Ovis aries: one gene and its partner. The protein of the gene in region 2 purifies or fractionates together with the protein of the main gene of each other region. This does not show direct contact. Links are inferred from orthologs where the notes say so. Each region holds a gene or a part of one and is shown on either strand. Other genes may lie near its edges.

Region 1 (3,960 bases), on a different chromosome or scaffold from region 2:
GTACACATTCTGTTCTTATCAGCAGTCCTACATTTGAATAGTTATAAAATTCCTCATCAAATCCACAGTTTTTCCAGACAGGAACCCATTGTGTCCCCCTTTGCCTGGCAAAGCAATAAAGCAATGTTTTTCTCCTTCAACCCCACTCCCAACTATTTTCACTGTTTCTTTTCTGACCATTATTGTTGGTCATCTTATTTCAGGGCTATTACTGAGAATACAATAGGAGTGGTCAAGAGACTGAGAAAAGCCACAGACTAGAAAATATTTTCTGATAAAATCTGATAAAGAGGTGCTATCCAAAATACACAAAGAACCCTTCAAACTGAACAATAAGACCAGGAACACCCTGGGAATTCCCTGGAGGTCCAATGATTAGGAGTCCCTATTCTCATTGATGAAGGCCCAGTCTCAATCACTGGTCAGGAAACTAAAATCCCACAAGTTTCTTGGGGCAGCAAAAAGAAAAAAGACTAAAACCAGACAAAAGATCTATATAGATACTTCACCAAAGAAGCATATGAGAACATGCTCAGTTTCACAAATCACTAGAGAATGGCAAATTAAAATCACAATAAGATAACACTGCACTCATAGGCTAAAACTCAACCTGCTGTTGATTCACTCTGAGCTAACGACTAATTTCACAGGGTCAAAAAACGCCCTTTGGTCCCCAAAGAGCGAAGCCTGACTCCCGCAGGTACTACAGACACAACACCTGAGAGGAGGGGGCGTGGCTCTTAGAGCTCGGGCGAGACCGTTAAAGCAGTTAGGACTGCCCCTGGCGCCTGATTAAGATATTTAATTCCAACTGTTGGAGATTTTCCCTCCGCACCCTACTAGAATATTAGTTTTTATTTATGATAAATGTTAATACATTTTAATTAATTTTAAGTCTAATTTCAGTTGATCCTGAAGTGCCTTTTGTCCCCAGCCAGCTGTAAGCCTTCAGGAAAGGTTACAACTTAAAATGATGTAACTTTTGCTAAAAACAAACCAAAAAATCCCAAACTAAATTGTACCACCTCACAGGGAACTTGGCACGGAAGGAACGGAGGTTTTTTTGTCGTTGTTGTTCCTCAGGCATTTAAGTAGTTGCCTATTACTCTGGGGGCGGGGCCGCGTGTAGACCCGATGGACCCGGGTGAGGCCGCCATTTTGGACTCTTCCCCAAGGAGCTTCAGCCGGCTTTTCGCGCTGCCGCCGCCGCTATCTGCGGCCTTTCTGGGCAGAATGAATGTGATAGACCATGTGCGAGACATGGCGGCCGCGGGGCTGCATTCCAACGTGCGGCTCCTCAGCAGCTTGTTACTTACAATGAGTAATAACAACCCGTGAGTTGAGGCGGGGAGCGGCCTGGGTCTCTGGAGAAAGTGGCGCCGGTTTGGGAGCGGGGACTGTGGGGGCCTGGGCATTGGCGGGAAGGAGCGGATGCGGGCTCCCGGCTGAGGTTCCGAGGTCAGCAAGGGCCTTGTCGGGCGCAGCAGGCTTAGGAACGCAAGTTGAGTTCGCCGGGTCCCCGCGTTGTGCAGGGCGCTGGGACGCGCTCCCTGCGGGAGATGCGGCGAGCGGCTGCTTGGAGAAATGAAGGCCGAGGCTCTGAGAATGACCCTGGCTAAGATTTCCAGGAAGTTGGAAGCAGAGGGTTCGCTAAGGCACTGTCGCCGGTCAGAGCGACAGTCACATCTCTGGGCTGACTCCTCTCTTCCCGAAGAACGTTTTCTCTCGCCCAGGCTCAAAGAAGCCTTGTCCTGGCCCCTGATTAAAATACTTCGTTTTTAGTTTTAGATCCTCGTCCCACGTCTGAGGTTGATTTTTCTTTTCCCCTTGAGTGTATCAGTAGCATTTGCTTTCTCGTTCGCGCAAACACCTGAAGACGGGAGACTTCCTGGGTGGGTGGGAGTGGCGCGTTTTTAAGGACCCGCAGTGACCCTTTGACGTTTTCAGATAGTCCATAGGATTGCAAAGAGTCCGACACGAGTAAAGTGACTTAGCACACATTGCGGATGAAGCGGTGGGTTATTTCTAGCCTTGACTGCTTGCCCCTTTGCTTAAATTTTTCATTGTGTTTAAATGAAAATTTCTTCCCACGGCCTATGAAGGCAAAGAGCTCTCTCCGACTCAGTCTTACCTACTCTGCTCTCTGTATTCGCTTCCCTGGTTATGCTCTTCTGTTACTTGAACACCCCAAGGTCTTTCTCAGCTCAGGGCTTTTGCGTTTACCATTCTGCTTGGAGTCCAACTCAGAGCTCCCTCCTTTAGGTTTCAACTCAGATATCCTTCCTAGAGAACTCTTGTCTGGCCGTCAGAATTGTTCCTGGCCCTCAGCATTCTATCTCTTTACCCTGTTGTATATTATACATCACTTTTTGTTTGTTTGTTTGAGATATCTTTGACTTGTTAGTTTCAGATGTGCAATATGATGATTTGTTATTTGTATATACTGTGAAATGATCACCATAGTAAGTCTAGCTAACATCTAACAACCCCACATAGTTACAGAAAAATATTTTTCTTGTGATGGGAACTTTTCTATATTCTTTTTTCTGTATTCTTCTTCTTAACACCTAATGAAGTCTGTAGTGTGCCTGTTGATGTGCAAAGAAAGTGCCTGCAACCTCACAAAGTTGAAACATGGTGTTCAAGTTGACACATTTAGTAAGTGGAGAAGCCACAATGTCTGGGTTTTGGTCCTTCTGACTCTAAAGTCTCATTCTGACCCTCCATAGTCTACTGTGTCAAGTGGCATTACAATCTACTCAGTGTGGACCGGTTTGCATTTGCTCTGGAAGCTGTCTGGGCCACTTAACTGTGTTGCAGCTGTTTTTCCCTGTTTGATTTCCACTAGTGTGCTTTTAGACCTCACTATGTGAGGCCCATCATTTTACCACCATCCACTTAGTGTTGACAGTGAGGAGCCCTGGTCTCTGTCAGCCTACTTTGTTTATTCTGGAGCCTTTCACCTGGTTCTTAGTGAGTTGTCAAAGTATACAGTGTCAAAAAAAAAAAAAAGTATAGTGTCAACCATTGGGAATTTATACACTGGTCAGTCATTATTCTTGGTTTTTCAGATGTTACAGGATAATTAGAAGGAGGTTGGTCTTCTGATTAGATTTAGCCCATTCTTCTTTATATTAGGCTGAACTGGCAGTTTCCTTCCTGCTTTCAGGAGGTGTTTAAATTCTGACCGTAATCATTTCTATTTTAAAGTTTATTACTTAATCTCCAGTATATACCATTAAAAAAAAAAAAAAAGAAAGCAGTATGAAGGGGTATGCAGATAAGTGTCTGCTCCGGAGTCTTGAACTTCACCCCACCTTTTCCCTTCTCTGGAGGCAACAAATTAACAGTTTTTCATGTATCATTTCAGAAATAACTTGTGGATGCAGTAAGTAGGCATGTAAGTTACAATATATAAACATCTGAATGCTTTCTCTGAGGGAAATATTATCAAATCAACTGTTTTCTTTCAAATCTTCAGTCGCTCAGTCGTGTCCGACTCTTTTGTGACCCCATGAATTGCAGCACGCCAGGCCTCCCTGTCCATCACCAACTCCCGGAGTTCACTCAAGCTCATGTCCATCAAGTCGGTGATGCCATCCAACCGTCTCATCCTCTCTCATCCCCTTCTCCTCCTGCCTCAAATCCCTCTTAGCATCAGGGTCTTTTCCAGTGAGTCAACTCTTCGCATGAGGTGGCCAAAGTATTGGAGTTTCAGCTTCAGCATCAGTCCTTCCTATGAACACCCAGGACTGATCTCCTTAAGGATGGACTGGTTGGATCTCCTTGCAGTCCAAGGGACTCTCAAGAGTCTTCTCCAACACCACAGTTCAGAAGCCTCAGTTCTTTTGTGCTCATCTTTCTTCACAGTCCAACTCTCAAATCCATACATGACCACTGGAAAAACCATAGCCTTAACTAGAGGGACCTTTGTTGGCAAAGTAATGTCTCTGCTATTCA
Region 2 (4,064 bases):
AATCATCTAAGGAGTCTGCTAAAATACAGAGTCCAAAATAAAAAGGTAGGGGACAAAAAGATAAAAAGTTGAGTGCAAAGACCAGTCCAGAGGTCCTAAGTCCCTGGACTGGAGCCCAGGACTCTGCATTTTAAACTATCACTCCAGCTGAGAACAAGCTGGTGTCCAGGACCTATGGCACTTTGGAAGTACTGTACTTAAGGGCAGAGACAAAACCTATTTCATCTCTATGATCCCCAAGCTTAGCACGTGGCAGCCATTCAGTGAAAGTCTGACTTGCATTGCTGATATAGAAGTTTAGCGGTCTGGTGGTGGGACTTCCCTGGGGGTCCAGTGGTTAAGACTTCGCCTTCCAATGCAGGGAGTGCAGGTTTGCTCCCTGGTAGGGGAGCTAAGATCCCACATGCCTTGTGGCCAAAAAAACAAAGCATAAACAACAGAAGCAATACTGTAACACATTCAATAAAGACTTTAAAAATGGTCCACATCAAAACAAAAAATAATAATAATCTTTTAGTGGTCTGACGGTCCATTTGAAAATTATCAATTTAAAATAAAACAGTATTATTAATTCTTGGCTATTAGATATTACTAAACAAAGAAATAAATTTCCTTGCTTGAATGCTTAGCATTAAGATGTTTTAAAAGTATATACATTTTGAAATACTTACAGGAGACATGTAATAAGGTGTGCCAACAAATGTTTTCGCAAAACTTGTATCATGGTTTAATATTCTAGCTAGCCCAAAGTCTCCAAGCTTAACGTTCTGCTTGCCATCCAGAAAGACATTGGCTGGTTTCAGATCCCGATGCAGCACAGTGTGGCCGCCATCACTTCGTCTGTGACATTCCTTTAGGGCCAGAGTCAACTGAGCCATCACACGAAGAACAAACTCTTCATCCAAGTATTGTCTGAAATCAAAGCAGTTATGTAGCATGTATCTGCTGAATGAAACCATTACAAAGATGACAGGATGTGAATTATCTAGTTTTCTAAGTATACACATAGGGAAATAAATTATTTGGATATGAAATTCAAGTGTTGACTTACCAGGGATTTTCTAAAGTACTGTGGACCCACTGAACAAACACAAGACGACTCTTCCCCATTACTAAGTACTTTGTCCCTGATCCTAATATAGGATGTTTCCAGAAACAAAACTAGGCCCATTTAAGAGATGAATTTATCTTACCTTTCCTTGGTTCCCTTTGAAATCACACCAGCCAGGTCTCCTCCTTCGCAGCATTCCATGACAATGTACAGGGTCGTGTTGGTCCGGTCAATAATTCTATCATAGTAGCGGACAATGTTTGGATGTTTCAGCTCCCGAAGCAAATTCACTTCAGAAACAAGCATTTGTTTCTCAGTTTCTGTCATGGAGCCATAGTCAAGTTCTTTCCAAACTAATATCTGAAATAAAAATTTCCAAGGTATAAATGAACTCATTATAACTCCAAATTTTTCAAATTAAAAAAAAAAGTTACTTATCTAGTAAACAGATCATACAGTCACTATTTATCTAATTTAGTTTAATGAGCTGAGGACCCCTGAGTTTATTTCCATAACCTTCCCCTAATTTTTAAGCAGTGAATGATGCAACAGAGGGTGACGAGGGAGGTTAGGCCGCCCCCAACCCTCTGCCCTCAATGCCTAGTGGGAGGTTGGCAGAAGGTACTCTAATCAAAGCTGGAGCAAAGGCGATTGAAGTCCCCAACCATTCCAACTAGTCAAAATTTCTAGGGTAAGAGAACTTAGTAAAGACCCTTCCATCTGAGCTAACTTCCTTTCCATTATTTTTCTGTGTGGGTCTACCCACACACCTTGGGAGATATGAATCTAACAATGGGAATAATGAGTTGGTGATGGACAGGGAGGCCTGGCTAGCTGCGATTCATGGAGTCGCAAAGAGTCGGACACGACTGAGCGACTGAACTGAACTGAACTAAATGAATTCTGACTACAAGACATAAAAGTTCTAGGTTCTGATGGTTATGATAGAGAATTACATTTCTCTAAAAACAGCTCAGGAGTCAGCTACCAGTCACCAACAGAAGGCCCATGGCAGGTCAAAGCAGAAAAAAGGAAGAAAATGGAAGAGAATGGAAAAAAGACAGGAGAAGAAGAAATATACATATATATATACATACATTCTACTTGGCACATTTTATTAGTTTTACTTTGGCCACGTGATAAGAGCTGACACTGGAAAAGACTCTGATGCTGGGAAAGACTGAGGGCAGGAGGAGAAGAGGACGACAGAGGACGAGATGGTTGGAAGGCATCACCGACTCAATGGACATGAACTTGGGCAAACTCCGGGAGCTGGTGAAAGACAGGGAAGCCTGGCGTGCTGCAGTCCACAAGGTTGTAGAGTCGGACACGACTGAGCGACAGAACAACAACAACAAAGAATTAAGGCACAGATTCACAAATTTAAAAAAAAAAAAAAAAAAGGATGCGGCTTCCCATCCCTCGAGAGACCCAGGACAGACACAGATCTGGGGGAGAAGGCTGGCTCTTCTGAGCACCCTGCTTTTCAGATGCACACCGCCAGGCTCCCTGCTTCCTCTGGGCGGCCTGGGGGCGGAGGCAGGGACCAGGCCCGCGCTCACCTTGCCGTCGCTCTTCCTGCGGATCTTCTGGCAGCGGCCGTAGGAGCCGGTGCCAATGGTGTACAGCACCTCGTAGTCCTCCACCCGAGTCGGCATGGCGGGGCCCGCGCAGGACGTCTGCGGGCCGTATAGTCTCCTCAGAGCTCCAGCCCCGACGCTCGGCCGCCCTGATCTGCAGCCCCGGTTTAACCGTCGCGGGCCCCGACCTCGCAGCCTATTGGCTCGCGGTGAGGCCGCTTCGCCTCTCTAATTGGTTAAGAAGAACACAACACGCTGGGCATCTTGGGAAAAAGGTATCGCTAGGCAACCGCGTCGGCGTCTGTGTCGACTTCCGCTGCCAACCTCCAGGGAGAAAGGGGCGGAGCTAAAGCCCAAGGTGGGCTGGGGACCGAAAGCTGCAGCGAGTGGGCGGTCCCCGCCACCTTGTGCCTCCTCCGCTGAGGTTGCCGAGGCAACCTAAGTCCAGAGATCTTTCTTCAGTTATTAGCGCACAGCCTCAACCGACTGCCTTCTGACCTTTGCACTGTGACCTCTCACTCTCCGGCACGCGCCCTCCGCTCTCAGATTCCCGCCCCCTGAACCCGGGCGGGGTCATATACTAAATCCTGGGAGAAAAGCTGAGTGCAGAGGTGAAAAGTACCGGCCCTCTGTAAAGGGTGCGCGAGTGAGGCCGACAGTGCTGAGGGATTGTGCCAAGCACTTTACATGTATTGTCTGGTTTGTAATACAGGAATTAGCGTTATTTCCCATGAAGAAACGGAAGGGTAGAAAGGTCACAGTATTTGCTTTAGGTCCAAAAGCGAGGACTCAATGCAAAAACAGTGGATATTTATAGTAATGATTTAAAGTTTTCACATGACTTTAGGGTGCAGCCGTCCTAGAGAGAGTATATTTTTGAACACCAGACGTGTACAAAATCTCTAGGTGGAAAATGGAATATGGAAGTCCTTGATGTTTTGAAATACCCAGAAGAATATGGTGGTTCTATAAGATAGAGATGGGCTTACCTGGTAGCTCGGTGGTAAAACAATGTGCCTGCCAATGCAGGAGATGCGGGTTTGATCCCTGGGTGGGGAAGATCCCCTGGAGAAGGAACTGGCAGCCCACAATATTCTTGTCTGGGAAATCTTAGGGACAGAGGGGCCTGGTGGGCTACAGTCCGTGGGGTCACAAAGGAGTTGGACACAGCTTAGTGACTAAACAACAATGTAAGGCAGAGACAGTCAGGTTTACCTTTAAGACTTAAAATTTGTTGTTGTTGTTAGAAAAGACTACCTTTGCACTCTGAATAGATTATCTGAGGTGCCAGGCACATAAATAATTGAAACACTTTGTTGAATGCAGCCTCTTGGAGTGTGCACAAAAACCAACATTTTCAACTCACCCTGCCAGCTGGAATTGTCCCACTTTTACCTGGGATACTGCACCTGGAGCCTTCTATCTAAGGGGTG

Evidence for each region. Proteins that work in one complex are often made in the same cells at the same time.
Region 1: the proteins of NEK2 (region 2) and ANAPC7 purify together in Homo sapiens (affinity purification with mass spectrometry; 3 studies listed by BioGRID and IntAct, with this or other methods). This does not show direct contact. The link is inferred for Ovis aries from reciprocal best matches to the Homo sapiens genes NEK2 and ANAPC7.

The regions. Positions count from the first base shown.
Region 1 is NC_056070.1:54,337,691-54,341,650, reverse strand, and holds the start of ANAPC7 (anaphase-promoting complex subunit 7), read left to right. Parts: upstream 1-1,160; 5' UTR 1,161-1,233; coding exon 1,234-1,334; intron 1,335-3,370; exon of another isoform or gene 3,371-3,400; intron 3,401-3,960. UniProt on the Homo sapiens protein: Component of the anaphase promoting complex/cyclosome (APC/C), a cell cycle-regulated E3 ubiquitin ligase that controls progression through mitosis and the G1 phase of the cell cycle.
Region 2 is NC_056065.1:71,252,455-71,256,518, reverse strand, and holds the start of NEK2 (serine/threonine-protein kinase Nek2), read right to left. Parts: upstream 2,801-4,064; 5' UTR 2,710-2,800; coding exon 2,614-2,709; intron 1,412-2,613; coding exon 1,194-1,411; intron 913-1,193; coding exon 672-912; intron 1-671. UniProt on the Homo sapiens protein: Protein kinase which is involved in the control of centrosome separation and bipolar spindle formation in mitotic cells and chromatin condensation in meiotic cells.